Alligator mississippiensis: one gene and its partner. The protein of the gene in region 1 interacts with the protein of each later gene in a pairwise test. Links are inferred from orthologs where the notes say so. Each region holds a gene or a part of one and is shown on either strand. Other genes may lie near its edges.

Region 1 (12,528 bases):
CTGCAGGAGAGTCCAGTTACGTGCTCACTGCATAAGGCTTGGTTCTCATGCATACTCAGGCAGGGAGGGTAGGAATACTCCAGGACTTAGCTCATACTCAGGCAAGAAGTGTAGGAGTACTCTGGGACTTCAAGAGAAGGTTAGTTTCAATTAATCCTCCAGAATTAGGACTCATTATCATTTAACATCCAATGATATTGGTTATAGACTCTGAATGAAGCCCTGCGGATACAGGAAAGCTCCTTGCCAGTGTGGTAGGATGGAAGCCCCAGGATGTAACAGGACATGGGGATGGACATGATGTTGGGAATGGGGCAGCTCTGCTTTGAGTGCAGTTGTTCATTGGCTTTGCTGCTAGGAAGGTCCCCCTTAGAACCGATCAGCAGGGAGGTGTACGCAGCTCCTTGGGATTTAGGTTTGCTCCATACTCGAGAGCTGGCACAGATTTATGGCCAGGCTCCTGGGGATCATACCCTTCAGATGCAGCCCTGGTGGCTTGCCTGGAAGAAGTGAGGTGTGAGCTGCCATGCCCTTTGCTGGGCTGTTTGGGGTCTCCAGGGTTCTCTGGCTGGCAGGCTCATCAGAGCTGGCACATTCTCACTGTGTACTTTGCATGGAGGTCATGCGTGCCATGGTATGGGAGTCCTTCAAAGAGCTGGTGAGAGACTACCTTGCAGATGCCAGGGGACCTAGGGTCTGAGCTCCATGTTTTAGCACTGGTATGTTACTTTGGGGGCTCTTACTCACCGGGGCCTCTGGCTTTGTTTGCGTTGTGCAGGTATCTGCGGGAGGCTCTTCCTCAACACCACGGGAGTCATCAACATGACCGGCCTGCAGGTCAATGACTGCACAGTCACCATCGGCCGTCCCCTGGGGGAAGTGGTAACAGTCAAAGTGCTAGAGAGCTCCTTAAACTGCAGTGCAGGTACGGTGCAGAGCTGGCTCATGGAGGAAAACTAGCCAGGCTCTTTCCCAAGTCTGTACCTGCTGCTGCTTCATGACTTCTTCACATGCTTTTTCTGACAGTCCAGCATGTCCCATTGCTGGTTGACCAGGGCTAGGCTGCTCTCAGCAGAGGGTCCCCAGCTGGGGAACTTGCTACTTCTGGCTCATGAGAGCCTGGGTATAGGAGCCAGAAGCACTGTGCAAGCCAGTGTTTTTTGTTTCTATGTTTTTCTGATTTCTTTCTTGCTTTATTCTGTCATGTCTTGTGTGGGACTTTCTCACTTTGCCCTGAAGATTTCATAATCCAGGTAGAGTCTGTCTCATAGGTAAACAGTGCACACACTTCTGCTACTGTGCAAACTTTTGTAGATATATTAACAGGGCTACTGGTATTAGGTTAGAATAAACTATAGTGTCGTGATGAATTTTGGATCCTGGTGGTTCCAGTCCTCAAGTGAGGTATAGAACCAGTGTCCTGATCCAGTCATGGCTCTTGAAGTTCCCATGTTACCCTTTTTAGCCCAAGACATTAGCTACATTCTCCTTGCCAGATTCCAGTGTGAACAGTGAGAGTTTCCTCATTAAACTCCCCCTTGAATTTCATTTGGATATGGGGGTTTTCTTCGCTGTGTGCCTTGAACTGCTGTCTAGTGCGGCTGTGTACTGTTAAACAGGTACTGCATTCTTCCCAGAGGTGGTTGCGTGTCAGTAGTTGGTGAAGTGATAACATTGATTTCTCCAGCAGTTTGTTAGATCAGGAAGCTGCTGTGAGGTTACAGCATTCCCTGTCCCACTTCCCATTCGTTACAGGAGAGATTGTGCTCTTTTCTGGGCGGCTGATGTGGCGGACTGGCTGTAGGAAGCTGACCATGGCATCTCTCAGCACCAGGACCAACACACTGATAGTGAGACAGCGTCTTGTGTTCCTGGGGAACGGCATAGTTTTTCAGTACAACAGCAAAGCTGCAACAAAAAAGCATTACCAAGGTATGTGGCTGGATGCTGCTCTACTGCTTTAGATTAAGGGTGATGAAGGCAAGGCCCATAGGCTTCCAAAGAGCAGTCCATGGAGAGGACGCACCTCTTCATGAAGTAGTAAGACCCATGGAGATACATAAGCTGCCTTGCTTGTGCCTTGAGATGCATATTTGAAATGCCCTTTCTGGACACATTTACTTTTCTTGCGTCGCTGCTTGCTGCCTCGCTGCTTGCTGCTCTGACCACCAGATCTCCAACTGCTTTCCTGCCCTCTCTCCTCCTCCCTCCCCACAGACTGCGATGTGCAGCTGTTCGGCTCTCGAGGAGAAATCGTGAATCCTGTAGAGTCTCCTGACCCCAGAAGACAAGTGGCCTGTCGCACCTTCATCACCGTGGCCCCACGGCATCGCATTGCCATTCGTGCCCTCTACACGGACCTGGGGCCTGAGAGCAACCACACATACTCCAGTTATATCTTGGTGAGTCACCAGGCTGAGGTGAAGCACACCTAAGGTCTCAGTGCCCCTCTTAGGTCCTCACAAGTTTGTGTTGAAATTCAGGGTTCAAAGCTCACTGCAAACCTGATGGGGTTAGATTCTGATCTCAATGGCATCAGTATAGACTTGAATTAATCCTATTGAGGTCTGTAGGTTCCAGCATCCAGCTCTGGCTGAGGGCGACATCCTGTCCTACAGGGCACCAGGTCCCCTGGCTAGTCTTCCCTTAGGGCTCCCATCCCAGCACAGATATTTCTCTGGCTGGAAAGATACAGGTAAGCGTGTAGTAGCGACTCATTCCCCTCTGTCTTCAGATACGTGATGTAAACACCATGAAGACAATCGTGTTCCATGGGAAACAGCTATTCTTTTGGGAGTCAACCGGGAGCCAGGCTGAAATTGAATTTCACGATGACTTCACAGAAGGCCACGGCAGTTTCCGAGCAGAGTACCAGGTCACTGAGCCCAGATAAGTGGGAAGCAGGGATGTTTCTGCCAGAGAGGCAGGGGAGCAGTGAAGAGCCCTGTCACTGATTCACCATGCGACTCCAGTCAAATCATTGAACTTCCCCACCTCTTTTTCACCATCTGTTTAATAGGTATAATAGTCTCTGCCTGCTTCCTAGGAGCACTCGGTTAATAAGCACCTTTGCAGTCCTGGAACACAAGGTGGTCTAGAGATGCCAGATATTACAAAATAGTTCTCATCAGTGGATTCCTTTTCAGCCTCTGCCAACTAGTACTAAGCCAAGGGTCCCCTGAAGCCAAGGGCTGGGGACACTGCTGCATACATCTCCTTCCTGTGATGTGATGCAATGCTGCCTTTTGAAAGAGGCCCCTCCTGTTCAGTGTCCCCTTATGGGAGCGTAGATCACAGCAGCTAGGGAAGGGGAACAAACTTTCCCGTCAGACACAAGCATTTTTGATTTTGGCCACGGCTGTGAATGAGCAGTGTGGAAAAAGCATGCAGTTTAGGGCTTTGGGTCTCACTCCAGCAGTGTTAAGGGACCTGATCAGTTTTACACACTTCACCGTCTAAAGGGGTCTTAAATATAAACAGAAATAAGGCCTCGTATGTCTGGAAGTAACACTCATATACCGGTATTTAGGAAAATAAAACCTTGGTGACAAAATCTGCCTGCTCAGGTGCATCCAACCTCTGCTTTTTGGGCCCATCTTTGCTCTACCACCCAGAAGTTTCAGAGGGCTGCTTTGTATTGATGACAGACTTTACAAAGTTGCTTATGTGTTACACATTTCTGTGCACTGAACTCTCCTGGCTTTTCAGCAGCCTGTCATTGGTGGTGTTGCTTTTGGGATTTCTCTGGGGGGAATGCAAGTTGGAAGGAAAAGAGAGAGGGCTGGTGTGTCAGCTGCACAGAGTTTAGGAGCATCCTCCTTTCTCAGGTTTTCCCTTTTTCCTTCCACGTGGCACATTTGTTTTTCATTATCTATTTTACTTCTGGTACAAGCCCTCTCTTGGTAAAGACTAAAGATAATGAAAGTTACCCCCATGGAGAGTAACAGATGGACACTGTAAGCTGCAATTAGCAGGGAAATTAAGTGTGACATCAGAAAGGCTGGTTACTCAGTGGAACATCAGCAATGAATATCTCCAAAACTACAGCACATATAATAATACGTGCAGTGGTACACTGGAAAGCCCTTGGAAGCTGTGTATGATCAGTGGTAACAGCAGTGAAAAGTGGTTTAGAGCAATGATAAATTCACCCTTGTCTTTGGTCGGGTAAGATTCCAGTTTGCTTTTAGAAGAATCCTCTTCAGCAGAAAAACCTGCTTACCTCGGGCTTGTTTTGGTCCAAAAAATCTTTTGACCTCACTGAAATCTTTTGACCTCTCTTTCCTGTGCAAAGCAGCCTTCTTCAGTGCTGATCTGAAGCTCTGCTGGGAATGGCTGCACCTTGCATTCATACCTAGTGAAATGTGGATGTTCCCCTTGGGGAGTTTTAGCCCTCTCCTTGTCTGCTTTCAAATGGATTCTGTGATGCCCTCTCAAAGCCCCAGATTCACAGCTTCCCATCTGTTCATGGTGCCTGTTTCTAGTGGTTAAGCCTGGATTTTTTCCAATCACTAGCCTCCAGCTTTACACTCAGTGACTGGGAGAGGAGGCAGAAAGGAAGTGGTCTGAACACCTACACCCCTATTGTAGTTGGAGTTAAAGGTGCCCAGCATGTGGATTCATCATCTGCTTCCCTGCATTTCATAGCATGCCCTGTTTACCCAAGAGCTTCAATAGCAGTGAGAGAGTATCCTCATCCTAGTCTGTTTTGTAACCATATCAGGCATGGAAGCTGCAATAGTGGCACTATCCAGTTCCTCCTCACCTGCCTTGGTTCCAAGTACTAGACACACTACAGTCCTGTGAGTCCAAAAGAGACTGTGTATGGTTCTTAGGACTACAACTACAGAACTGTATCTCTCCCTGTAGGACCTGTCTGAGATTTTGCAAACTATATACCTATTTTAGGACTAGGGAATGAGAAATATACTGGAATTAACTTAAGGGATGTGTCCTGAAAGAAAATCAGTATGTTACAGCAGAGACCAAGTAATCTAGGAGGATCAAGGCCATTTTCACTATATCCAATCCTATTACATTCCCACCTGAGGGAGTCTCTGACAAGTAGATTGCCACAACATCAGGGGATAAACCAGCACTGTTGAAGTCAGAGGACGCTTTCCTATAGACTGAGATGGAACCAGGATCTCACTCCTCATCTGAATGCACTTGGCCTTCTCTCTTTAATCTAAATCTTTCCCAGAGTGCCTCATTGCTTTAATTTCTGCATGATTGTAATAATCTATCTGTTGCCATCACACATTGACCTGTGACTGGAACATTGTCATCGAACACCAGAACGTCCCTTGAGACCTGAGATTTTGGTGCTCAGCTGTTGCAATTTGTTCTCTTGCTCAGAGCTAAACCTTTCCTTTTTTTATCTCTCTCCTCCATCATTATTAAGGAAGATCATCTCTGGAGCAGTTGGAGACTGGAGTACAAAATGGCCTTTGGGCAGAAACAGCATTGGAGATGTTATTTTTTGCCTCTGACATATGACATGTGCTTAACGCTGAGAGTCTAATATAATGAGCTGATACCAGGAGCTGGGGCTTAAGAAACCATCAGATAGCATGAGACTTGTGATGAAGGAGTTGGCAACACCACAGCTCAAAGGCACAGGCCAAAGGCCCCAGTGGCTAACGTGAAAGGGCCCTCACTGGTTTCCCTGCATTTCTTAAAACACCCTTGTTTACCCAAGAAATGCAGCAGCCACGGGAGCAGGAGGAGATTGTGAAAGCCCCATGGGAACACACAGATCCAAGTTCACAAGAGAGAGCAGCTTTACAAAACTGTCCCATCGGGTTAAATCCTGAAGGAGGGACCCTGTTTCCAAATGACTGAACTTAGATCTGGGAGTCAATGAACTTTTTATTGCCCTTGGAAAGAGTTGGTGTGAAGGGGGTGGCACTGTACCAAAGAGCAACCCACACCTGCTGACCGCACCTCGGGCCTCCTCCATCTCTGTGCAGGCACTCGCTTGGTCTGACAGGCCTGTTGCCCAGCCCTCTGCCTCTCCCGCATGGTTGTCCAGACAGGACAACTTGGTGATGAATGCAGGGGACCGTGCAGTCAGACACCTGGGTTCTGCTGGTTTTGCCGCAGACCTGCTGAGTGGACCTGGGCAAGTCACTCAGCCTCCGTCGTGAAGCAGAAGGGCAGCAATGACCACAGCAGTCTCTGCACAGCTGGGAAGCCTTCCCAGAGCCTTGTGCATGGGTTTTCAGCCAGGCTCATATTTACGGCAGTGCTGCAGGTTGGCACCGGGGAGCTCCTGTGTGGCCATGCAGGGGCTCACAGCTGCTCCCTCTGCAGCTCACCTGTGAGCAGGCATCCACCCAGGTGCGCTCGGATCAGGCCTCCCCGCACGCCTGCCTGCAAACGCGCCTGCCTTCCCGTGTACGCACGCAGACCTGCAACGAGCCCCTCCTCTGGGAGCTGCAGCTCATGAATATGTAGAGCCAAGGCCCGGCCTGCCTGGCTGCTTAACGAGGGGGCTGACATCAGAGCCCTCCCCCAAGGAGGGGGGCCCCACAATGCAGCGCGCAGGGCGACGTGGATCAGACTTTCCATTGTCAGCAGGAACAGAACAGCTGTTGAGGGGCAGGCGGGGGCCAGGCCGGCTCCATGGGGTGGTGGTGAGGGGCCCAGCAGCTGCGGCCCCCCTGTGAAGGGCTGTCACCAAGAGGGCAGGAGGGAGGGAGCATCCCCCACTGCTCTGCCTCAGGTGGGAAGCGGGGCAGCTCCTGGCCCTTGAGGAAGCCGGCTACCATGAGCTCCCAGGAGGACCAGTTCCAGCCGGCCCCCCCGGCCCCAGCTGACTCCAGCAACGATGATGGCATGACCTGGTGGTATAGGTGGCTGTGCCGCATCGCCGGGGTCGTCGGGGGCATCTGTGAGTATCCCATAGCCCTCGCTTCCCAGGGCGCTGCTGGAGCAGGCGGTTCCTAATCCATCCTGCTTCCTTTGCTTGCCTGAACTGGCGTGCATTAGGGCAGCCTGTTTTGCATGCTCAGGTGTGTGCACAAGGGTGGGAGCCGTGTACACACGAGTGCCCGGGGCTGGGGGCGAAACAATAGTTTGCAGCAGCAGTTTTGTGTCTCAGACAATCGAGGATCTAGAAGCAGGCAGTGACGGGGGCGTGGGCTGCGCTTTGGGATCGTCCAGCCTGCCCAGCACTTTCCCTGCAGGCAAGAACAGCATTGTGCTACACACACGTCTCTGCGGTTGTGTCCACCCCGACAAGGTCCCAGGCCCCGATCCTGCATGAGGGGGTGGGCAGTGATACAAAAGGGGGTGCCCAGGGTGCTGCAGGCAGGTGGCTGGATTAGGCCCTGTCAGTGTTTCCAGTCTGGTGCCTGGGCTCTTTTTACCACTGCCAGGTTGCTGATTTCCAGGTATTTTCTGCGTTGCTGCTGCTGCTCGTAGCGCGGGAAGAGTATTTCCGTGCGGTCGAGCAGGGAGGATTTTCCCTCGGAAGGGCTGGTTTGTTCTTTTCCTACTGAAGCGGACAAAACGAATAGGTCTCCGAGCCGTAAGGGGCCATCGTGTTTCCAGTCCAATCTCCTGCTGGAAACTGTCTGCAATTCTTGCGCAGAGCCCAATCATTTCTGGGAGAGTGAGTGTGTTTCTCATCGAAGCGGTGTGCACTTCGCTGTAACATTTCATCTCACTCCTTTCTCTGCCCTTACCCCCTTGCTTGGCTCCTGGTCTGGAGCTGCTTGGGCAAAGCTGCTGCCTGTTTGCAGCTGCCCTTGTGTGTGGTGCTACTGGGAGGCAGGTTTTTTGCAGTCTCTTTTGTTTGCATTGATCCAATGCCTAACGTAGACCCGAGAAAGTTCCTGGTGGAGGCTGGGGCTTCTGATCGGGCTGCACAGGGCACCACACCGGTTGGCGCTGAATTATTAGTGCTGTGAAAGGTTTTACTGGAATTGTTCCTATCAGGGGACATTGGCCCAGTGCACAGGGCTTAGTGGAAAGCCCTTGCTGCTTCCCCCGGTGCTTGCACGTCCCCAGGAAGCTGGCTGGAGAATCTCTCTTGGGTTGGGGTGGTAGGAAGCTGGACTCTTCCCCCAGCTCACGGTCAAAAGCCCCAGAAAGGCCATGAAGGGTGCAGAGCCAACAGGCTGTGGTTCCCATACGCCGACACTGTTGCACTCCCCAAGCCGTTCAGACTAGTGACCCAACTCCAGGTCGGGAGATCGGTTTAAAAATCATGAGTTGGGTTTGTTCCCTTTACCTCTGACAGGGACAGAAATTACACGTAAACCAGTATTAGTGATTGGAAACCGGTTCAAATCTGTAACACAATAGAAACTCAGTGCACTTAAACTGCTTTCAAAATGGCTGAAACCGGTTTAAGGTAAACTTAGATGGATGTAGTGTCTGACTTAACTGATTTAGGTTAAACTGGTTTATTGAACTTCTGTCCTGGATCCCCTCCACATTCAAGTTGACTCTCAGTTCCCCAGCATCCCAGGATGCTTTGCACCTCCCCTGAAAACCCAGTCCTTGCAGGGTGGGTGGCTCACTTTGGCCCAAGGTGTTTGCTCCAGCTTAGCAGGGTGGCATGCCCTAGCGCCCCCTAGCTTCTGGCCAGGGCCACTGCAGGCGTGTAGCTGCATTTCCAGAAGCAAAAGTGAATGTCTGTTCACTTGCTTATCGGTTCAATCTACGCAGCTTAGACTAACCTGCAAAGATTGAATCGATTCAGCCTTGTGCTCTTTGACTGTCTACACTTAGCCCTGGTGCCCGAGCCCTTGGGGCCCACTTGGCTTATACTGCCAAGGTTTTCTGTGCAACCAGGCAGGTGGGGATATTGTTCTGAACCTCTGGGAATTGCTTCTTCTCGCGCTTTTGCTCAGCAAGCAACAAATCCACCAAGCAACTCAAAGGCAATTTGATATCAGGATTCAAGAACTGGCCTATAACAGGAAGAGTGGTTCCCTGAGCCCTCTGTGTTACCGCTGACCTCGTTTCAGGGTCTTCCTCCCTGAGTGTCACACCGACAATTGCTGGAGAAGACTGGGCTATATCTCCAGTTTTTATGGGTTGCCAAGTGTTGAGTCCACTCCCTAGGATGCTCACTGGTTGTATCTGGGTTGCTAAAAGGATCATTGTATCCTGATGAGGCCACAGTCATTCTTGGCATAACCTGCTGTAACTTCAGTGGAGTCATGATTGCTGATGCCGGGGCAGAGGTTGGCTCATACGCTGTAGCCAAAAATACACTATAGACAGAATTGCCTGGTGCTTGGAGAGGGACTTGGGTGACCCTGTTTTTATTCCCAGCTCTGCCACTGACTGACTGTGGGACTTGGGCAGGTCACTTTGTAACACAGAGGTGATTTCATTGAGATACTTTTGTACCGTACTTTGAAACCTTGGGCAGAGAGTACCATAGAATATGCGTGAGAGCAGGCCTGCCACGTGGGCTGTGAGGTGCAGTGAGCCTTTCTGCCAGGAGTCCCATTTCAGCTGCACATTTATTGCTGAGTTTTCTTAGTGACTCAGCCCGGGACAGAGATTAAATAAATAGCCAACCAGGCGAATGGTCTGACTCCTCTATTACGGACATGCCCTTACTTTAAAAGCCTCTTTGTGGCCTGGCACCATGAAAGGCATCTGAGCTGATGGCTGCGGTTCCATTTGGACTTCTCCGGCAGGATTCAGTAAACCTCCGGTAAGGCAATAACACATTGGGGTGCTTTGGAGGGCTCCTGTGCTGCAGAAATGGAGACAGTGAAGGTCACTGAACCACTGTCTCAGTGGCTGTTGGCAAACGCCGTGGTGCGCGGTGTTTCGATGATTGCATATCACTGACTCAGTTCCCAGCAAATGCAAAACACCCATCGTGCTGATTTCAGGAACAAGAGAACTGTTTGGTCAGTGCTACTGCTTGATTGACCCTTGGCCTCGATGGAAGGGATACAGAAATATTTTGCACGTAGACTTTGTCTTAGGAGAGTCGTGGAGTTTTTTTTAGGTTCCCAGAAAAAAAGAGCCCTTAATTTTTAATGTCTTTGGAAAGATGCAGGGAAGGAAGCGATACTCGCGGCAGTCAGCCCAGATTTATGTTGAGAAAAAGACGTTCTGCTTCTTCCTGTGGTTCAGACTGGAGTTGGGATCCTTCTAAAAGTCCTTGCCTAAAAAGTTCCTTGGTGTTACACTCAGCTGTTAAGCCACTGCCATGTTTCTCCCCAAGAGGTAGCTGCATTTCAGTGAGGGGTGACATGCTCCCTGTTGCTAGCTAGTCTGGAAGTGCTTGGAGATGGCTTACGTAGGTCCTAGTGAAGGTCATGGGCTTGTCTTTAGGGGCAAAACTTTGATTCAGATATTTGCCCCTCTCTTCTGCTCATGCATTTATCCAGTAAGATCAGGGAGGAAGGTTACTAGCTGTCTGCCGTGTCCTTCCCTGCAGAGCAGCAGCTGGCCCCATGAACCTGGCCTGTGCTGCTCCTTGCAGTGGGAGTGAAGTCCAGGGCCTGCTGGCTGACCGTGGGCAAGGTACTTGGAGCTCTGTGCCCCAGTTCCCCCCCGACTCTCTTTCTGAAATGAAGCAAATCACCCTGCCCTCTTTTTAGGAAGTGCTTGGAGACTGAAGGGTGAGGAGCACTATGAAAGGGTTGTCCCTATGTCTCCTTTGCCTTCCCTGCTATCCTGGCTTCACATCTTACGATTGCCATCTTTGGACTGAATACCCCTAAACCCCGCTCTTGTCCCCAAACTGGAGGAGTGGGCCTCCCTGCCGCTGACTTGCTGTGTGCATTCAGGCAAGGTACTTCATCGCTGTCTGTACAAAGGATCCTTAACCTGCTTTTCGCCCCTCACTACAGAAAGGATGTGGACAAATTGGTGAGAGTCCAGTGGAGAGCAACAAAAATGGTTTGGGGGCTGAGGGCCATGACTTGTGAGGAGGGGCTGGGGAAACTGGGCTGATTTAGTCTGGAGAAGAGAAGACGGAGGAAGGATTGAATAGCAGCCTTCAACTCCCTGAATGGTCTTTCCAAAGAGGATGGAGCTGGGCTGTTCTCAGTGGTGGCAGATGACAGAACAAGGAGCAATGGGCTCAAGTTGCAGCAAGGTTAGATATTTGGAAAATATTCTCACTAGCAGGGTAGTAAAACACTGGAACAGAGGTGGTGGAGTCTCCATCCTTGGAGGTGTTTAAGACCCAGCTAGGTAAAGCCCTGGCTGGGACGATCTAGTTGGAGCTGGTCCTGCTTTGTGCAAGGGGCTGGACTAGATGTGACCTCCTGAGGTCCCTTCAACCCTTATTGTCTATGCTCCTATGAATGTCTGAGGTTTCACTAGCGATGGCCCTCAAATTTGTCTCCCTTCTCCATCCCTGGAGCCACTTGGGGAATGACAAACATGGACTCTATTGAAATACCTTGTTCTGAGATGGTTTTGTGTTCTGACATACATGACCCAGTCACCTGCATTATGTAGGCACCGGAGGCATACCAGCACTCCCCCTGCCCATGCCACCTTTGCAGTCCGTGCTGTTTAGTTGCAGGTTTTGTCAGGTTATTACGTATTATTGAGCTGGTCCTGCTGCAGTATCCCACTGTCCCTCCCCCACCCGGGGCTCAGATTCCTCCTGTGAATAACTGGAGGCTCTTGCGGTCAACGGAGGAGGATGGTAGTATCGGATGCAGGGAACTTTTGCAAGTTTAATGAGCTGCAAGGTAAGTGCGTGCTCTAGTGCTGGCTTCAGAGCTGCTGGCATTACACATTCAAGGCCTCCAGTGTTATTTTGGGTCTCACTTTGTCAAATATATGCTTCCATGCCTATGAGACGGGTGGAGCTGAGGGCTGAAGATGACCCAGTGTTGGCCTGGAGGATCCCTGCGGAACGAGAGGGGTTGTGCCGTTGTGCAGAGCTGAGCGCACAGTTTGGTCCATAGTTTGCTGGCACATCCTTGTGGCTGCCTGTGCTTTGCCACGGACTGGGGCTATTTTTCACTCCACTGTTTTCTTGTAATAAAAGATCTTGTGCTGCTTGCAGGTAACTCTTTATCCAGGGGCAAAGTACAGGAGATTTAGAGATTCCTCCGCAAATAAAACCAGAGTTTACTTTCAAGTGATTTCATTTTGAAGCAAACAATCTGGTCTTCTGTGTAAAGGAGAAGATCAGTGGGGTCCTGGGCTTGAAGGCCCCAAGTCTTGAGTAAAGGGAACTGCTATGGTCTGAGAAGATGTCCTGCCTCCTATTCTGGCCACAAAACTCTTCTGCCCCTCACCCTTTAGTGTGGATGTATATGTGCTGCTCTTCAATGTGTTGCAATAGTGTCCAGAGGAGCTAGGGGAGATGCCAGGAGCGGTGAGGGCTGGGAGGGAAACACGGCGAGTTGGCCATATGAATCCACAAGCTGTCCCAAACCCAGATGCAGCCACTTGCCCAAGGTGACCCGGCCGGTCTGTGTCAGGGCCCATTCTCTTGTCTGCCTGTCTGGTGGTGGATGTGCTAAACCACACTGTCGCCTCTGTGTCCTCAGCGCTTCAGTTTTCGTATTAATTGGAATT
Region 2 (12,011 bases), on another chromosome or scaffold:
CAGCCCCTGTCACAGTGTCCCAGAGTGCAAGCCTCTTCCTGGTTGGGGGGCCGCACTGTGGGTCAGGGAAAGCTGCTGAGGACTGTGAAGGGCAAGCAGTAGCAGTGGTGCTAGAGGAGTTTGGGGAGCTATGGCCACCTCCAAGCCCAGGTACCACCATTCACCCTGCATAATCAGCGGCAGCTCTGGCCCCCCCACCCATGGTCCCCCCCATCAGGAAGAGGTTCGCATTCCCCAGACAACAGGACAAGGGCTGCTGCCCCCAACATGGTCACTCCCCCCTCACTGCTCCAGCGGCAGGGACGCAACCAGAGTCCGGCTAGCATGGCCCCTTAGGCAGGGGGCAGGAATGGTGATTATTCCCCCCTCCATCTGGCGTGGAGTGGGGCAAGAGGAAGCTTATCTCGCCACTCACCCAGTGCAGGGAGCGAGCAGCAGCTGTGGCAGCCGGGACAGGCAGACCCTGTTGCAGTCCCCTGAGGACAGAGGGGGTAGAGGGAGGAATAACCCCCTTCCCTGCCCTCTCTGCCTCAGGAGGCCATGCCGGATGGCATCTGGCTGCGTCCCTACTGCTGTGGCAGTGAGGGGGGAGCACCCAACAGACCCCAGCTTGGGTCCGTGGCACAGGGAGGGAGGAAGCCAGATAAGAAAGGGAGGAAGCCAGACAATAAAAGGGAGGAAGCCAGACAAGAAAGCTGATACTTTTAACAGTTTCTTTGCCTCTGTTTTCCTAAACAGGGACCAGGATATCCCACCTACCAGAGGTAGGGACAATCTTGGGGATAGCTCTATCAAGTCTTCAGTCAGTGCAGATGTAGTTAGGGATCTTCTGGAAGGGCTAGACATTTTTAAATCTGCAGGTCCAGATGCCCTCCACCCAAGGGTGTTGAGAGAGCTGGCAGGGGTCATCGCGGAGCCTTTGGCCCGGCTGTAAGAGCATTCGTGATCATCTGGCCAGGTGCCGGGGGATTGGAAACTGGCTAATGTGGTCCCAATTTTTAAGAAGGGGAGGAAGGAGGACCCAAGTAATTATAGGCCTGTAAACCTCACCTTGGTGCTCGGGAAGATCTTGGAGAGGATCATCAAGGAGCATATCTGTGGGGGGCCTGCAGGGGAGATCATGCTCAGGGGCAATCAGCATGGCTTCACCAAAGGCAGATCCTGCCAGACCAACCTGATTGCCTTTTACGACCAAGTAACTAAATTCTTGGATGATGGTGTTACTGTGGACATAGTCTTTCTAGACTTTAAGAAGGCCTTTGACACTGTCTCTCACCCCATCCTCATTAATAAATTAAGTGACTGCGGCATTGATGCCTGCACAGTTAGATGGGTAAAAAATTGGCTGATGGAGCGCACCCAGAGAGTAGTGGTGGACGAGTTGTACTCAACCTGGTGAGACGTGAGCAGTGGGGTACACCCCAGGGCTCGGTCCTCGGGCCCGCACTGTTTAACATCTTCATCAGCGACTTGGACGAGGGGGTGGAAAGCACGCTGTCCAAGTTTGCTGATGACACTAAGATGTGGGGCAAGGTGGACACGCTTGAAGGGAGAGAGAGGCTGCAAACAGATTTAGACAGACTACCAAAGTGGGCAGACAAGAATAGGATGGGGTTCAACATAGACAAATGCAGGGTGCTGCACCTTGGGAAAAGGAATCCACAGCATACATACAGGCTGGGGAGTTCCCTTCTTGAAAGCACAGAGGCGGAAAGGGATCTCGGAGTCATTATTGACTCCAAGATGAACATGAGCTGCCAATGCCAAACCGCAGCCAGCAAGGCTAGCCATACCTTGTCATGCATCCAAAGGTGCCAGCCATACCTTGTCATGCATCCAAAGGTGCATCTCAAGCCAGTCCAGAGAGGTGATACTCCCCCTCTATGTGACTTTGGTCAGCCTGCAGTTGGAGTACTTTGTCCAGTACTGGGCACCGCACTTCAAAAGGGATGTGGCCAGCCTGGAGAGGGTTCAGAGGAGGGCCACCCGCTTGGTGAGAGGGCAGCAGGACAGGCCCTACGAGGAGAGACTGAAGGACCTGAACCTGTTCAGCCTCAGCAAGAGGAGGCTGAAGGGGGACCTGGTGGCTGCCTACAAGCTCATCAGGGGAGATCAACAGCGAACAGGCAGAGCTCTTTTCTCCCCAGCACCACCCGGGGTGACAAGGAACAATGGTCATAAGCTGATGGAGAACAGGTTTAGGTTGGAGATCAGAAGGCAATATTTTACAGTTAGGGTGGCCAAAATCTGGAATCAACTTCCCAGGGAGGTGGTCCTCACCCCTACCTTGGGCATATTCAAGAGGAGGTTGGATGATCATCTGTCTGGGGTCTTGTGAACCCAGCATTCATTCCTGCCTGTGGCAGGGGGTCAGGCTAGATGATCTGTTCAGGTCCCTCCTGACCCTAGCTACTATGATACTATGAAGTAAATCCCCTCCCTGGCCAGTTCACTCCAGCCTACTACCAGGGCTGGCCACGCCCCTCCAGCACACCTTCCCTGAAGCCAAGGATGCACTCTAGTGCAGTGTTTCCCAACCTTTTATGCCCCACGGCACACTTACCTAAATAAAAAAGCACCGTGGCACACCGGACACAGAGTGGGGAGAGGGCACGTAGCCAGCCAGACACGGACCAGGAGGGGGAAATGCACAGCCATCCAGACACCAACAGTGGGGGCGTGGCGTGCAGCCAGCCAGACAGCGACATGTGGGTGACACACGGCCACCCAGATGGCATTCTGGGCTGGAGCTATGCTCCCAGTCTGTCCATGTCCACAGCAGCAGCAGGCGGGGGAGGGGGGGGAATAGCTCTAGACAGGCAGGGGGCGTGGCTTCAGCCCCAAATGCTGCGGCACACCTGGACTTGCCTGACAGCACATGCCGCATTACACCGCTTGGGAAACGCTGCTCTTGCGCCCTCCAGCTCGTGCCCTGAGTGACTTCAGGCATGTGCCTGCATTTCCTCAATCCAGAGGGAATATCTTTTCAGTCACAAACTGGTTCAATCTAGCCAGGTTAGACTAACCTGCAAAGATTGAATCAATTCAGGCTCCAGGTTTTTGAATGTCTGCGCCTAGTCGAAATTCTGTTGCTGTCACCCTGTACCTGCTCTCCAGTCTTGCCCATGCAGTTCAACTATCCTAAGGGAGACGTCCCACACAAACTCTTTGCTGTCTACCTTTCAATCTCTTTTTGCACCCTGCAAAAGTGACCATTAGAACAATTATTCTGAATGGGAATGCTCTTTTGAAAAATAAAGATTGATTTTTTTTAGTTCACCTTGGCATGCAAGTCATCTGTATTTCTGTCTGAATACATTAAATGACTATGTCTAAGCCAGGGTCCCATTAAACAACTGATTCCGGTTGACTGTCCTTGCTCTTTTTCCCCTAACATTTTACATTAGTCAAACTGACAGCAAAGTCTTCCTGACTCTTAAACTTTGAGGCTAAAAGAAACAATTATAATCAACTACTCTGATACCCTGAAAAAAATTCCCCTCAGTAATTTCTGCATGCATCAAGCTGATGGCTTCTGGCTGAACTAGAATATATCTTGTAAAAAGATGCTCAATCAGGATGTAAAAACTTCAGCGACCTTCCTCTCCCTTGTGCTACAACCTCTTTGAACTGCTGGTCCAAAGGAGGCACAACCATTTTATTCAGCTGGGGAATCCGCAGGAAGCAGAGCTAGCAAAGCAGTTCTGTATCACTTGCCTTGCCCCCCACTCCCATTATCTGAATGTGACCAAGCTAAATGGTGGATTACTGGAGTGTAGCTGTATTCCAGCCACCTCCAACTGCTGGGATGTCCCCTTTGGTTGCTCAAATTTACAAGGGCTGAATCAGCCACCAACATGAAGCAGAATCAATAGCACAAAGGTGGTGCATTCCCCCTTTGCTTTTGTATTGACCACAGTTCAATTTACCCTGAGGACTGAGACTCTCTTTTATGACCTCCCTGTAGATGAATTTGGAGAATGAGGATGGTTTGTAGGAGGAGGCCTTTGCGCATCAAGCCATCTTTTCTTTTTAACCGCCTCTTCATAGTACCTATGTCTAGGAAGCTGGGTTCATACTGTTTTTTGTATTCGGGCAAAAGGCTGCTAACACTGGGTAACAGGCTTGTTTTTACTGGCCCAACTCCCATGCACACACAGAGATGTCTAGCTCATCTTACCCAGGGCTTTGAACTCAAGTTACCTTACCTGGCATAGATGAAGCTCAGGCAAGGCTGCAGCTCATGGTAGTGGCAATTCAACTTTTCTGTGAGGACAACACAGGATGGCTAGTGCAAACACTTTACTTTTAATCCAGTCACACTTTGCAACTCAGGTGTTTGTTTTGCTGCATGACTACTTTTAGTTCTGCTTTCCTAAGTAGAGGGGAGTTAACTTCAGCACAGAGAACTCAGGTTAATGCTGGAAACAGGACAATCTCAATTAAGACATAATTATTTTAACTATTATTCCTCTGCATACAGCAACCAAGAGGTTTAAAGATTTAAAGTTTGGATGCTTATCTAGCTAAGGTGATCTGACCCCAGCTGACTTCCTGCCCCTGGGCCAGGGGGCTGGACCTGATGATCCCGCAAAGTCCCTTCCAGCCCTAATGTCTATGAAAGTTAAATAAATTACAGAAACTATTTTTTATTGTTTTGCAAAAGCAAAAAGCAGTTGTTTCTTTTGGAAAAAAGGATTTCTAGCAAAAAGAACAATTGTGAATACTTGTAAAATACGTCTCATCTTGATGTATGAGACCCTCAACACCAGTTACTTCACTTTTTTGGAAATAATCTACCATTTCAAGTTTCCATATCAATCTAAACACAATAGGGTCATTACAGTTTACTGTGCCATTATCCTTGGGTTATATCAGGGCCTGTGAAGACAGTCAATTTCACTGATTGAGATTTTGTTCCTTGCTTTAAAAATATCCAAAAATAAACAAATAAAAATGGAAAACCAAAGCTGAAAATCAGAATTGTATATACTCTAGTATCCCAAGCGAGACTATATTATACTGTTTACTGAGATTCTTACTGTTAGCTTTCCTCTCTCTGGGTGTTTCTTGCTCTGTATCTTTGGGACCAGAGCCCAAGAGAACCAATGGACAAAAATCTGAGCTGAGTTGGAGACTCATCCTACAAATTCACCAGAAGGACAAATGTTTTCACTCGTGAAATACCACACAGTAGATGCCTCTAAGGGCAGAGGTTCCATTTACCTCCAAATGAAATGATTTATAAAGCTTTGTTTTACCTTAACGAGACTGTTGCAATCCAAATTAAACACACAACATCCACTGTTTTTTTCCAACATGCAGAGAGCATCTTTAAAGAACTGTACATAAAAAGGCCTTTACTTATGTTACTAATAATCCACTCAATTATTAATGCCCCAATCCACAGTGGAGCAGGATCAAGGCACAAAATGGAAATAATTTCAAACAGCAAGTTTACTTTTTGCCATCTGGGTTATTACTTACTTTTGCATGTCGTTCAACTTGGAAAATTAAACTAAACTGATCAGTTGCAGATAGCAGAGCATCTGTTTCATTGTCCCGTTCGCCTGCACTTAACACAAACAAGCATCAGAGCATCCTGTTAAACACTACTGAAGATTTTTTTTAATCTACCCCCCACACACACTAGTCTATTTCCATTGCCCCTTTTTTAAAAAACTAATGAAACCATTAATATTTAATTGGGTGGCACCAATTAAAAAGGCTGATCAAAAGTAAGCATGAGAAAAAAATGTTCTAGTTTCTTGAGGTAGTCTCATCAACATCACATTTCTGTACAGCAAAAGGAGCTAATCTACCTGAAGCGGTTCGAGTTTTGCACGCGACAGCGGTTTAATGATCTTTAGCCACCTAGTAACTACGATTTCAATATGCTGTATACCAGCAGTTCCCAATCTGTGGTATGCGTACCACCAGTGGTCTACAGACAACCTGTCAGTGGTACATGTTAACAGATTTATTATAATTATTTTACATGACAAAAATTTGCTGGTGGTACTTAAGGTTGTATCATTTTAAATTGGTGGTGCGCAATCTGTCAGTTTGGGAACTGCTGCTATATATCATAACTTAGTGGTTCTCAACCTTTTTAGAGCGCCCCTCCATATATTTTGTGAACAGCACCCTGTTGTAAAAGCTAACTTATTTATTACAGTGCTTTACCTCCTTGCCAAGGGGCTGGGCAGCAAGGCCAGGGGAACAGCCAAGCAGGGACTGTGCCTGATCCTGTGCTTACCTGTTTATCTCCTCACATCTACATCCTTCAAAGGATCCCTGGGTGTCCCTATGCCGTAGCTGAGAATCACTGCCACAACCACCAATTCGCTGCCATCAATTCACAGCAGCCGAAGAATGAGTTCTCACACCCTCCTGTTCCAAAGGCGGAAACTCCTGTAGCTGCAGGACACGTAACTCAGCAAGCAATCCCGTGGACACCCAGCAGCAAACAACAATTGATTTACGGTACAAGCCAGTCTGTTCTTACAATAGCATACAAACTCCCGTAGCCAAAACTTCCCACGCTATATCAGCATTACAATATCCTGGTGCTTTATAAAAAGGTGGGAATCTAAACTTTTTTTTTTTTTTAAATAACGTTGTACTCTTAAGTGCTGTAGATAAACACTCGACATGATCAGCACTCCCTAAAGGCTCAACAACCAAAGTACTACTAAAATAAATCCTGACTGCGTTCGTTGTTAAAAGTCTCATCGCTTTATGCTGCTCTGGGAACCCGACTCCTGAGTTTCGACTGGTTGAGCGGGGTTACTCCGTGCACTTCTGTTTGGCAGGGCGCCGTCCGGTGTCCCCCGCAACGGAGCGGGCGGCTTTCCTTCACCCCAGTGTGTACAGCAGGACGAAGCCATAGCCCACCGCAGGGATCCTCCCCTCCAGACCTATCGACCTGCTTCTCTCCAGCCCACTTGCCAGAGCTGCCATCCTCCCAAGCGCTGTACAACACATCCCAGAGGCACCTGCCCTGGGCCAAGTGCTGCAGGCAGGACGCACCCTGCGGCTCGGGGCAAGGATGGGCACCTCCAACCCGGGCGGCAGGGAGAGGCACAGGCTGGTGCCAGGGCCCAGTGGGGGATGGGGACAAGCCAAGGGGCAACACCAGGGCGGGGCCGAGCCCGTCGCACGCCGGGCCATGGGCGCGCGGGGCGCCCCTGCCGGGCCGGAGCCGCCCGCTCCCCCGCGCGCAGCAGCCGGCGCGGGCAGGCGGAGGCGGAGGCGGAGGCGGAAGCGGGAGGAGGCCGCGTCTCCCTCAGCCTTGCCCAGGCCGCCGCCGGCTGCAGCAGTCCCGGCCCGGCGCCGAGGTAGGAGCCGGCGCTGCCCGCGGGGAGCGGGGGGGATGGCGGCGGCCGCCGCTCCGCCTCCTCCTCGCGGGGCCTGGGGCCTCCTCCCGCGGGGGACGCGGGCAGCGCACGGGCGACTCGCGCGACTAAACCGGCTCGGGGCGGGCCCGCCTCCACCCCCCGCCCCGGCCTGGATGGGCCCGGCCGCTTGGCGCGGTGGGCGCGGGGCTCGTGTCCGTGCGGACAGGCGGGGCGGGGGTGCAGGCGCTGGGTGTGGTTTAACACGAGCCATAAACGCAGTTTTAGGTCCTTGAAGCGGCCTGCAGGGTCCCTCCTCCCGCCTCCATTGTCTCTGTCCTCCTTGTTGCAGCCCCTGAGCAAAAGGGAAACCCGCGCTGGGAGCCTGATTGTAGCGCCAGGGCCCACAGCTGCGACATGAGGTGTCTGGTCTGTTCCCTGTAAGCGCGCTGCTTGAAGCGCCCGCAGGTCAGACTTCAGGACGAAAAGTGGTCTTCAAGTTGATGCTGCCCCCCTTAAATTTTTGGACCTTGGGGAACTGGGCACTTTTTTTTTTTTTTTTTTATGAATAATTACAAGATTGAACCGATAAACTGAGAAGGCAAGAAGCATGTTTATATTCAGGGGGAAAAATGTAATTTTTTTGTACTTGAGGGCAATGTAAGTGAGGTGTTGAGGAACTGGAATGACTGGATTGAAATGTTTTGTAATATGTGGCCTAGATTTTATAGGACGCGCTGAAATCCATGCTCAGCGTCTTTCTCGTTCCTCTGATTTAAATAAGAAAATACTGTTCCTCTAATTATACACAAGCCTGTCAGTAACTTCACTTCAATTGTTAAGGAGGTCGAATGGCCAAGCTGGCACTGATCATCCAGAAGAAGGTTCAAGAACAACCCTGAAGGCTCCAACATGTCAAAAGAAATGCAAGAGCTGCAGAAGCAGTGGCGCTTCATGATGAAATCCATCCACAGCAACTCCAATGTGGGTTTCGGATTCGATTATTATTTGATAGAGTGTGTTTACATAATGCTTCTCCAGCTGTCTTTGCTTGGATGTCACACCTCATTTTATGATAAGGATATAATTACAAAAGTCACATTTGAATTTTTCATCATGAGAAAATTAGATCCCCTCTTTTTCTTTCTTTTTTTTTAAGAGGGCATGGGGGAGGAACAAGCCACCATAACGTATTTTTAATTTAAAAGCATTTCTATGGGATTCATTAAAGTAACATCTGAATGGCTCACAACAGGCAGTAAACATTTATCCCCATTTTACATACAAGGAAACTTGAAGCATAAATTTGGAATTCAGATATAGTAGTATGAAGTTTTAAGACGTGTTGTATCTCTTTAACTATATAAATATAATTAAGATAATAAGTATAATTAAAGCAATACAACTTTGTAGTGTAGATCCATCTGTGGAGTCCTTAATGTTCAAGGGAGGGCAATTTATGGATCTGCTGCTAACCTATAGTCCCTGAAAACAAATTGTTTTTGCACCTGTTTTAGTGTGACCTTAGTACCTGGCCTGTTATATGACTTTCAACATTGAAACAAATGTTAATCACTGGATTAAAAATTACAGTTGGTAAAAACCCCATACGCTATAGACTTGCATACTTCATTTACTGTTAGTTTTTTACTGTTATTTATAGCATGGTTCATCTGTATCACATATATTTAACAGAATATCTTTTGTAAACTATCTTATGCTATTAGTGAGGACTCCTGCTTCCACATTGATTTTTCCCCCTTTGTTTTCAAGTACCATTATGTTCTAGCTTCTAAATTTAGGTGTACTAAAATACATTTGATTTAGCAAAATAGATTATATATCTCCACATCTGCTTTGACATGTGCTGCAAAACTATTTCCTTGATATGCCACTCGTGATAGAATTTGTAAGGCATTCGTATACAAGGATGGTGAGTACAGTGCAAATATGTACCAAGCCAGACGGTTCTCCGTGCTTCTGACATTGTGCAGCCATTGCCTATAACACGAATTAATCACTTGTGTACTTACACAATTATTGTACCCAAAATTTCATTAAAGTAGTTTAAGATCATAAAAGATTTATGAAGCAAACACCTAATCTAATTCAACTTTTCTTCTTTCAATCCCCTACAGGTTGTTGCTTTTATGAACTCTCGAATTGGCCAATACTTAGATGATCATCCTTTTGTTGCCTTGTCGCTGTTGGTGTTTATTGCAGTTTCTGCTATTCCTGTTGCATTCTTTCTGATGTTTGTGGTTGCAACAGCTGTCATGGCCTGTATTGGAGTTATAATCATGGAAGGTATTTTATTTATTTTCTTTTCCTCCCCTTTTAAGCCTTTTTTTATTTTCAGGATTTTCCTTTCTCTCCCCTCTCTCATGCCCAGCTCTTGATCCAACTGAATTTAAAAGATTTTTTCTGAAGTTCTCAGCTTTCAGCATCAACAAAAGTCTTAATGCTGGAATAATAATCTAATTAAAAAAGGAAATAGGATTTCCCTGTCTTGGGTACAGTTAATCCCAATGCGGATGCTGTTAAACCTCTTATCTTTGCCTTGGATAGCTTTCATCTCTGGCCTGCAAGGAGATTTACGAAGAGCATGTTGTGTGGGATTTTTCCTTTTAGATGATAACAGATAGCATGTACTGAAACTTCTCTTCTGAAGTATACCTCCACATACCCTGTCTTCCACCAGCTATGTGGGCCTAATCATTTACTTCACCCTAATCCAAGGAAAGGTCACTGTGGGCCAGAGGATCCACCTGGGAGAACAAATAAGAGGCCAGCATCTAGTGTAAGAGGAATGCACATGGCTGTAATGGCTGTAGTACCTTTCCATGGTGGAGAAGGACAGCTAGGGAGGTCCAGGCCAATGCAGATTTAGAGGATTCATGTCTGAGTCCCAGAGATGCTAAGCCTCTGTGCTGAAGCTCTTAGCCTCCTTCGATCCCTGGAGACCTGAACAAAGCCTGCTAAAAACAAACATCACTCCTCAAGACTGATCAGAGAAAAACTCTGTAGGGAGACTGCCTCTCCTTTAGGGGATGTCATACAACTGGGGACCTTGGGTCTTTGACCTGCATTGTGAACAGAACTAATGTGCACTTTTAAATTACTGCTGGTCTGAATTTAGGATTGCAGTAGACCTGCAGCGAATACTTTCTTTGTTTTCAATATGTACTTGATGTACAATAGTATGTACAGTATTCATGCAAGTAACAAATTGGTTCTTCCTTGCTAGGTGTTGTAATATCAGCAGGTGGAATAGCTCTTCTTTGTGTGCTGGGTGGCCTAGGGCTGCTTTCCTTGGCAGTTTCTGGAGTAATGAGTATTTGTTATGTAGCGTTTACAACTCTGATCAACTACTGGTACACTCCAAAGTAAGTATCAACATTTCACTCTGTACAATAATGTCACATTTTAACTGTAGTTGCACATACTACCTTGTATGTTAAGCAGTGGATAATTTGTTGCTTGGAGTAATAATAAACATCAGCTTTGAATATTACAGTATTTCTGTTTACCCTGATAAGACTTAATATTGGGACCTTCAGACCCTGTTTTCTTTGTAAGGAAAAGGAGGAAGAAATAGTTATCAAGTGTGTCTTGTGTAAGTCTAGAAATAGACATCACCAGTGAAGTGGCTATGTCCCAGCACAGCTGATCTGCTTTACTGGGTGAAGCACACAACACCCGTTTTCCCACCTCTTGATCTTGCCCTGCTTGTAAAGACATGCCCCCAGCAATCTCTGGGGTTACCAAAGATTGTCAGGGGTACATTAAGCCAGGACACTCCAGTACAGTCCCAGGGCTGGGCTTCCAATTAGCTGATTCGCAGTTTCAACCCCTGGCCCCCAGCAGAGCAAGTTCCATACTCTGGTGAAGTCCCAGGGACAGGATTGCCAATCAGCTAATTGGCAGCCCCAGCCCTGGGACTGCATCAGTGTGTCCCGGCTTTCCCTGCTTGCAGAAACATACCCCCAGCACTCTCTAGGCAAGTCTGTAGAAGCAACGGAAGTTGAGGTTCCTATTTCCAGAGCCTCGCCATGGAGATTGCCAAGGGCACGTGTCTGAAAGTGGGTAAAATTAAGTAGGTGCTCCCTGGTCTGGAGGGGCCTAATTCTGTGCAGGAATTGGCAGGGTATACAGGATCAGGCTCTTCAAGCCCAGGAAGTGCCTGCCCAGGGCAGTGGGAGAGCACAGGCTGCTTTGGGCTGTCTGCACTCTCCTGTCATAAAGCAAATCGATGTCGGCTGTAATAAATAGTACAATTTATTACTGCCTTTAATTGCTGCTGCCTTATGGCATGATGGATGCCTGTTTGCTGTCTCTTTGTGCCACTGTAAATATTTGTATGGCTGCACAAAGCGACATCTGTTTCTACCCTGATTAACTTCATTCTGCATTAGTAAATACAAACAGTTAAAATGCTTTACATGGTAATGGCCTAGCAAAGTTCAGAGACTGCTTTAGATTTTAAGGGTGTGAATGTGCTAAATAGAAATGAGTTAAACCACTTTGAAGAAACACAATTACAGGAATGTTTTCTTTTAAAAGAAAACAAACTTATCTACTAAAACTTTTATTTCTCCCTCAGCTTTCTAGAAACTCAGGTACAGTTTTAGCAATGGGTCGGGTTTCAATCATTTGACATTAAATTTGCAAGTC

What was found.
Region 2: the proteins of CACFD1 (region 1) and LDAF1 interact in binary tests that used the Homo sapiens proteins (3 or more experiments, as listed by UniProt). The two-hybrid records come from large-scale screens. The link is inferred for Alligator mississippiensis from reciprocal best matches to the Homo sapiens genes CACFD1 and LDAF1.

Annotation. Positions count from the first base shown.
Region 1 is NC_081835.1:60,949,145-60,961,672, forward strand, and holds the start of CACFD1 (calcium channel flower homolog), read left to right. Parts: upstream 1-6,539; 5' UTR 6,540-6,771; coding exon 6,772-6,895; intron 6,896-12,528. Other genes in the region: ADAMTS13 (A disintegrin and metalloproteinase with thrombospondin motifs 13), read left to right, coding at 1-15, 779-925, 1,756-1,932, 2,218-2,402, 2,735-2,893. UniProt on the Homo sapiens protein: Transmembrane protein which mediates synaptic endocytosis and fitness-based cell culling.
Region 2 is NC_081836.1:46,230,853-46,242,863, forward strand, and holds the start of LDAF1 (lipid droplet assembly factor 1), read left to right. Parts: upstream 1-7,249; 5' UTR 7,250-7,340; intron 7,341-7,819; exon of another isoform or gene 7,820-7,938; intron 7,939-8,180; 5' UTR 8,181-8,249; coding exon 8,250-8,321; intron 8,322-9,475; coding exon 9,476-9,644; intron 9,645-10,584; coding exon 10,585-10,723; intron 10,724-12,011. UniProt on the Homo sapiens protein: Plays an important role in the formation of lipid droplets (LD) which are storage organelles at the center of lipid and energy homeostasis. In association with BSCL2/seipin, defines the sites of LD formation in the endoplasmic reticulum.